Xenopus tropicalis: one gene and its partner. The protein of the gene in region 1 interacts with the protein of each later gene in a biochemical or structural test. Links are inferred from orthologs where the notes say so. Each region holds a gene or a part of one and is shown in the gene's direction. Other genes may lie near its edges.

Evidence for each region. The genes of interacting proteins can lie anywhere in the genome.
Region 2: the proteins of patj (region 1) and pkp4 interact in a test that uses a peptide from one of them, tested with the Homo sapiens proteins (2 studies listed by IntAct, with this or other methods). The link is inferred for Xenopus tropicalis from reciprocal best matches to the Homo sapiens genes PATJ and PKP4.

Annotation. Positions count from the first base shown.
Region 1 is NC_030680.2:85,652,055-85,656,353, reverse strand, and holds part of patj (inaD-like protein), read left to right. Parts: intron 1-64; coding exon 65-151; intron 152-1,270; coding exon 1,271-1,388; intron 1,389-2,219; coding exon 2,220-2,257; intron 2,258-2,346; coding exon 2,347-2,469; intron 2,470-3,192; coding exon 3,193-3,297; intron 3,298-4,299.
Region 2 is NC_030685.2:73,515,403-73,519,701, reverse strand, and holds part of pkp4 (plakophilin-4), read left to right. Parts: intron 1-1,159; coding exon 1,160-1,348; intron 1,349-4,190; coding exon 4,191-4,299. UniProt on the Homo sapiens protein: Plays a role as a regulator of Rho activity during cytokinesis. May play a role in junctional plaques.

The DNA of each region.
Region 1 (4,299 bases):
TATACCTTTCTGTGAGAAAATTCCATTGCACTGATTTTAAAAGAATTTCCTGTTTTATCTCAAGTGTGCTCAAGGACTTGTACATCTAGAGATTGGAAGACTTCGAGTTGGATCTTGGCTTGCATCCAAAAAAACCTTTGAAGCCAGTCAGGTCGGTTACTGATTCTCCCCCTCCTCTTTATGTATTCATGATTGATATAAAATATATTTTTGTGATTCATAATCTGGAGTCAGATACTGCAATACTATATATCAATGGAATGTTCACCATATTCCCCAGGTAATTTAAAGAATGTCTGACCAGAATACAGTATCAGGTTAACAGTGTAAAAAAAAGGTAGTTCTGTTATTTTGTGAGCCTTTTATGGCAGCGTACAATATAGTACAAAAGCAGCAATGTAGTTTCTGTATATTTATTTAAGTGCTTTATTGTATAACCTGTGAAACCGTACAACTGTATCTGTATTGTAAGTAACAGGTAATTCTTTATTAGATCTAAAAGTCATTTTTTTTTCACTCAATATAAGAATCCACACAGAAGACCCGTTGACTGTATTGGCTTTTTGGGCTGTATATTGGCCCAAAATAGTGTAACAACTAATTGTAGAGCAACTAGCCTTGTTTGAAAAATGGGTATTTATTTGTAGCAGTACTTTTCATTCTTGAGTTTCCCAGTCTATAGCTCTTTCACTGTTTCTGAACTAGAACACTAAGTATTTCAGACCAAAGAAAGGCAAAAGGCAGATATTAAAATAATAGGCACTTTCAAAGATTCCTAAAATAGCTAAAAACATAATATTAATAGAGACTTGTAATGCAGAGAAGCCAGAGGATACACTGCTAACAAGCCTAAATAATCTGGTTGTTCATTGTTTAAAACTTTTTGCAAGTAACTGTTCTAGATTTCTAGAGACATACAAAGAGTAAGTGAGAAAAAGCAAGATGTAGGTCAGATAATATGCAAGCCTATAATAAACACAATAATTGTGTTAGTAGAAGGAAATAATGTGTATTTATTCTCATTAACCTAGCCAGATTTTATTTTAACAACTAGTATTATTTGTTGTGTTATAAATTATATTATATGCTAGTTTACGGGTTAATTCAAAATGTGTATCCATTTGTGGTATAAATGTAACTTGCAGCCACTTGGGGAAATTTCACCTAAAGAAATATAAAAAATATTTTTATTGCCTCTTAAGTAATGCATGGATGTAATGTCTGTTTGTACCATTTAAACTGAAGAACATATTACTGAATTGCACTCTAGATCAACCAAATGAGTTCCCATGGTGTTCTTCCTCCATCATTAACTCCAGTTATTTCCAGCATGCAAGACTATGCTAGCTCCAAGAAATCCTCTGCAGACTCATCACAAAGGCATTCTGGTAAATACTGTGCAGTACTACAATTCTATTACCTTTTTACAGTGGCTTGGAGTTATTGTGCCTGTGACATATGTGGCATTAAAGAGAGAAGGAATGGTTCTGAAAAGATAAAGCAGACAAAGAATACTACAGATATACTTTAAAATCATCAGAAAGTCTTGGGTATAATTTTTGAGTCAGTAAATGGTCATTCAGTCTTACTGTCTCTCTGTGCTCGCTGTGCCCTAACTACTATTCTAAAGGTTTAGCATTCAGAGTGTCTGAAATAAATTTGTGTACGCAGTACTGTGATTGATTAGTAGGACCATACGACCATTGCTTGTTTGTCTTTCCTAATATTTTGTTACCATTTCATTTTATTTTTACAACCATTTTGCTAATGGACAATTAAATAAACAAATACATGGTGGAGCCAGTATAAGCAAATACATTCCTTACTCTGAGTACCAGTATTCTGAACTGAACTGCAGTCAAGACTACATGGAAATGCAGTTACTGAACCAGGGTGATGTCTCACCTTCATTTGTTTTCCTTTTTAATGTGTTGTTCTCTATTTACTTGTGTGATATACAGCATGGCAGTGTTGCAGAAGAGAATAATATAGTATTATATATGGCTGTAATCCAGATAACTTGTGGGAAGGAGAAATATGTCTTCAGAGCAAATATCTAGAGACAGCCCCTTTCAGGGGTCACCTATTGTATTTGTCTTTCTATTGTAGTGCTTTGTTTTGTTTTGTTTTTTTATTTTTGCTTTACCTTTAAATTTAGCACTTCACTTTTACTTTTTCAATGAATAAGTATTTAAGATATCTATCCCCTTTAAATACAGGCACAGACTTGGAGCCACGGACTGTAGAAATTAATAGAGTAAGTAAAGAAAAACTACACTTGCTATAATAAGAGTTGGAGGGAAATATACAATGACTTAATACCTTTCCATTTTCACACTTTGTTAGGGCCCTTATGATGCTCTTGGGATCAGTATCGCAGGAGGGAAAGGCAGCCCATTGGGAGATATCCCAGTTTTCATTGCTATGATCCAAGCTAGTGGTGTAGCAGCACGGACACACAAATTAAAAGTAAGTATCTGTTTTTATCACCATGTGACTTTTACGAACAGTAATGACGCATAAGCAAATTATATTTTGTCTTAATAAAAGCACATTATGGTGAGATGGTTCTACATGTTTTACTTCTCTCATTGACCTTTAACCATAATGAAGGAAAACCAAATTATGCCCCATTCTCATCATACTTTGTTTTATTGGTAAACATGGCAATGACCTATAAAAACCAAGTGCCTATGTTAGAATTATGTATGTATATCTTTATTTATAAAGCGCTACTGTACGCAGCGCTGTAAAGTAGAATACATTAATACAAACGGGGTTATTAAGATAATAATAAATTAGATAAAGTTTAACAATAAATAAAAGATATAGTTGCAATAAGTTAAGAGTCAAAGACACAAGAGAATGGAGGTCCCTGCCCCTTAGAGCTTACAATCTATATATTATGCTGTTTCCATAGAAGATATTACTGTAAGGACGTTTTTTGCTTGTACATTTAAGCAGCTTGTTGTAGAGGCAAAGTTTATAGTAGTGAATTGTGCCAATCTGCCCTTTTATTTGTCATTTAACAAAATTCTGTTAATTCTCAATTTGTACTTACTTAATCTTGCAATATTTTCTATTCTCAAAATTGCAAAGTAAAGAAAATATTCAGTACTGCATTATATTTAATAACCATCTTTTGAAATTAATCCTGACCTGTATGTTTTATCATGGGCTTGTGGGGTATAGGTTGGGGATCGGCTTGTCAGCATTAACCAGCAACCAGTGGATGGGCTGTCACATGCAGAAGTGGTTAATATCCTGAAGCATGCATTTGGAACCATTGTTTTGCAGGTATGGTAATAAATGTAAGGCTAATGCCAGACGAGGCGTAGGGCGGATATTTTCGGAAAGCGGAAAAGAGCTTGCTGAAAATTCCGCCCTATGCCTCCTACATGTGCCTGCACCCGAATGAATGAGATACGCTCGGGTGCAGGCACATGTAGCCCATATATATATAATGCAAAGTCTCGTGTTTTTATGCGCATATCGGCTACATGTGCCTGCACCCGAGCGTATCTCATTCATTCGGGTGCAGGCACATGTAGGAGGCGTAGGGCGGAATTTTCAGCAAGCGCTTTTCCGCTTGCCGAAAATATCCGCCCTACGCCTCGTGTGGCATTAGTCTTAAGCCTCAGATGTTTCAGCTGTGAGACATTGATAACTGTCATTCTGTAGAGACTAAGGCTGATGCCACACCAGGCGTAGGGCTGATTTTTTCCGCTTGCCGAAAAAATCAGCCCTACGCCTGGTGTGGCATCAGCCTAACTCCAACTGGCAGCAGAGCTCACTGCACATGTAAGTGCATTCTAGGAGGGCACTCCATGTTACTTAACAAAATGTACAAAATCACTCTGTTTCACATATGGTAAGTACATTTACAAGTTTTCTGCCTTAATCTGAAATTGCAGGATACTGGAAATTATGAATCATCGTTCCTATAATAGTTGGCTTCTGGCTTTATTAATGTGATTATATTAGTCAAATTTGACTGGACTGCCATGGCTTACAGTGTTAACTTTTTTGTTTGATATTTAATAAAACCGATCCCTTGAGAACATTTTACATATCCCTTACCTTTGCAAATAGCAGTAAACAATAAACCTGTTTAAATGATTTTACAAAAAAAAAAAGAGCTACCTTTCCTGCCCAGACAATGCAACAAATATTTTTAAAACATCTCTTTTCTCTTATCTATAAGTGCCTTCAACTACATTGTGTTGACCACCCAGTCAGAATTTCAATTGACTGGAATTATACATGTCTAATTACAGACAAAAAATGTTTTCTACCTTA
Region 2 (4,299 bases), on another chromosome or scaffold:
TGTGGGTTGCGGGTACGATTTTCAGATGTGGGTTGTGGATCTTATCCATATTTCTTATATTATATATTCTACTCCATTAAACATTTTTTTCTACCCCTGCCCACTTCTGATGTCACTTCTGGTTTGCAGCAACAGCTCTTCCTGTTAATGGTGGTCAGCGGGTTGTGGATCGAGGTGCGGATATGGCAGTTGTGGGTTGGGTATTAGGTCAAAGCAAGTAAAAATGTGGGTCCAGGTTGTTGGCCATGGGTCCAGGTTATAGATAGGATATTTACTAGTCTTACTAGAAGGTATCACAGTCTAAGGGCATCGTCCCTTGTACATACCCCCCAAGCTTACAACCCCTGCTGTTAAAGGGATGCAGTCATGGCATGTTGCGCCTGGGGGGGGCTGTTTTGTAAGATTAAACCATTTATAACAGCCTGTGCCAGGTTGTATTTTAATTATTTAATTTAATTAAAGCTTTGTGCCATTCTACCAAGCCTGATGCAGAACATATAAGGCCCCACCCCACATCATTGCCTTGTCCCTTCTCTGAGCATCTGGCAGCTAAACTGTGTAATAGGCCTGTAGCACAAATGCCTTGTAACTACATGGAAAGAAATGTGTTGGCTTATATCTTAAAATGTCACTTAGTGCTAGAGCTGAGCAGAGAAGCCTCAGGAGACCTTCTGCTTCAGTAAGGCAAGCTTTCGATATTCTGCTTGGTCTCCACTCAGACAAAACAGCAGGGGGCACTCTTATTATGTATGTAGGTATATGTGCCCTTTAGCTTGAATGCATAAAACATTCTTACACTTTTTAAATGTTTTTCCTGTATGTGAGTGGTGTTGCCATGGTAATAAGAAGCATAAAAGTTATAGGACTTGCCAAATTAGCCACCCTATATTGGTGCCATCCTAGGCACAGGGTTGCCCCCCTTCTTTCTCTGCTTCTGCCCCTCCATAAGCAGAGTGAATATTGTACAGCCTCCCCTTGTTATCAGTTTAAGGTAAACAAACGCTCCATGTATATTAGCCCTCAGAATCCAGCCAATCTGCTCCTTGACTGCACGGCATTCGGGAAATACTGAGCATTTCTTGCCGCCGAGTGATTTGGGATTAGCAGTGGATATGAAAGCAATGTTTGCTGAGCGCTCCATCTCTTGTTTGTGTTGCAGACGGTGGAGAACTGCGTATGCACGCTGAGAAACTTGTCCTACCGCCTGGAACTGGAAGTGCCTCAGGCTCGAATGCTGGGAATAAACGAAATGGACGGCTTCTGCAAGGAGTCCCCCAGCAAAGAGTCTGACTCCAGCTGTTGGGGGAAAAAAAAGAAAAAGAAAAAAAAGCCCCCGCAGGAAGACTTGGTTGGTATAGCGATAGAAAGAACTGCTACTGGTGCTGATAAGCATAGAATTTTGTGGGTTCCAGCCCTGCTACTAACAGGGAGCATTAGCCCCGTGTTGGAATCTGCTGGTTTTGTTGAGGCTACTCTGCCTCCCCTACAGCTGGCATGTCTCCCCTACACAAGGGCTACAGCTGGCATGTCTCCCCTACACAAGGGCTACAGCTGGCATGTCTCCCCTACACAAGGGCTACAGCTGGCATGTCTCCCCTACACAAGGGCTACAGCTGGCATGTCTCCCCTACACAAGGGCTACAGCTGGCATGTCTCCCCTACACAAGGGCTACAGCTGGCATGTCTCCCCTACACAAGGGCTACAGCTGGCATGTCTCCCCTACACAAGGGCTACAGCTGGCATGTCTCCCCTACACAAGGGCTACAGCTGGCATGTCTCCCCTACACAAGGGCTACAGCTGGCATGTCTCCCCTACACAAGGGCTACAGCTGGCATGTCTCCCCTACACAAGGGCTACACAAGTTGGAGTGATATTCCCCTCAGCAGGCGATCAGCAGAACAATGGGAAGGGAGCAAGATAGCAGCTCCCAGTAGGTATCAGAATAGCACTCAATAGTAAGAAATCCAAGTCCGGCTTGGGACTCCTCCAGTTACATGGGAGTAGGAGAAACAATAGGTTAGCTGAAAGCAGTTCTAATGTGTAGCGCTGGCTCCTTCTGAAAGCTCAGACTCAGGCACAATGCACTGAGATGGCGCCTACACACCAATATTACAGCTACAAATACATTTGTTGGGTCAAGAATAAAAATGTAAATGGTAGAGTGAATTATTTGCTATGTAAACAGTGTAATTTAGAAATATAAAGTATACCATAAAAATCATGACAGTATCCCTTTAAAATACACACTGCTGTGGGGTCTCTCCATGAAATTCGGACACACAACTGAACTGGCACATCCCCATCAGTCCATGAGAAATCCTCCTAAAAGTTCACTCATAAGGAAGCCCTGGTTGAGTCATGGTGCAGCTGCAGTCTTGCTTGAGTTTACTGGCACATTCTCTATAGACTCTAGTTGATCAATATGGAGACTGTGTCCACCAAAGCAAGCAACATGGCAGCTTCCAGTCATTTGTGTTAGTATAAATACAGAAAGAATGAATATGAGCGATTTGCCCTTGTTTAAAGGAATGCGTACAGTTTATTTAGTCTCGGTAATCCCATATATTTATACTTTACATAAACTGCCAACGGCACAGAGATATATTCCCCTAGGCTATAGCTGCTTTTTACCTAATTATCATTTTCTTACATAAAGCCACAAAGAATCTTCAGTCCAAAAGATACAACTGTAATAATGCTAATAAATAATTGTAAGTAACAGGCAGTATCTAGAAACAAGAACTCATATCTCTCCCGGTTCTACTGCCGTAACATCTTGTGAGAAGGAATATAATTTCAAGTGAGCACAATTCCCTGGGCGGCAGCCATGATATTTGCTCTATATCAGCAGCCGTGTAAGGATGCAAGCGGGTCAGCCGCTGCTTTGCACAATCCAATTTCTACAGAAAGAAGCTTTTCCCAGCTCAGGGACTAGAATATGTGTTTTTTATTTATTTAGTATTTTCAAATAGGGCAGGTCAAGCCGTCTGCTCTCTTTATGAATTATGGCTCCTGAACCGGAGTTTGCCGGGAGTTGCTCCTTTGCCCATATAAGGGCACGTGGCTACAGTGTATTAGATGCCAATGAGGTCAGTAACCCTGTAAGGGCATAAGGCTATGTAACGGTAGAGCCTGAAATATTTATATAATATTTATAAGGTAGGTGTCATCATTAATAGCACTAATGACCTCACTAAGCATTTATAAAGGGAATAATGTAGCCCCTATTGTAATCTCTGTGGATATTGGAAGTAATAGAGGAATTCCATGACGCTATAAAATTAGTACAAGTACAAAGGCCGAGAGCTTTTATACAGGTCACAGAACTCTAACGTGACCTTTTGTACCCTTATATTTTACAACGGGGGGTACAGATTTTATTATTATACAGATGTTTTAGTGAGTCATGTGACCTAAAAATCACCAAGCAACGTTTATAAGGATGTATTTTACAGTATATTCAAGGCTCTTCTGTATTATACAGGTATGGGATCCATTATCTGGAAACCCGATATCCAGAAAGCTCCGAATTACGGAAAGCCTGTCTCCCATAGACTCCATTTTAATCAAATAATTCAGATTTTTAAAATTGATTTTCTTTTTCTCTGTAATAATAAAACAGTACCTGTACTTGATCCCAACTAAGATATAATTACCCCTTATTGGGGGCAGAACAGCCCTATTGGGTTTATTTAATGGTTAAATGATTCCCTTTTCTCTGTAATAATAAAACAGTACCTGTACTTGATCCCAACTAAGATATAATTACCCCTTATTGGGGGCAGAACAGCCCTATTGGGTTTATTTAATGGTTAAATGATTCCCTTTTCTCTATAATAAAACAGTACCTGTACTTGATCCCAACTAAGATATAATTAATCCTTACTGGATTTTATAATCCGGAATACCCTTGGTCCCAAGCATTCTGGATAATGGGTCCTATACCTGTATAGTGAATTGTGCACCCCCTGTTGTAAAATATAAGGATATTAAAAGTCACCAAGTAGTTCCATGGCCATATAAAGACATGAGGCCGAAGGCAATCACTCGACTCTAGTTTACAGGATATTCATGTACTATGTAAGTACATTTTATGTATAATGTAATGTATGGCCTTTATTTAACATTTCTGAACAAGTTTACTTAATGCCCTAATGGTTGTTCATTCTCTTGTTTTTTGTTTGCCAGTGGGATGGAGTTGGTCCTATTCCTGGGCTTTCCCAGTCCCCAAAAGGGGTGGAAATGCTGTGGCACCCATCGGTAGTCAAGCCATATCTGACACTCCTAGCGGAAAGCT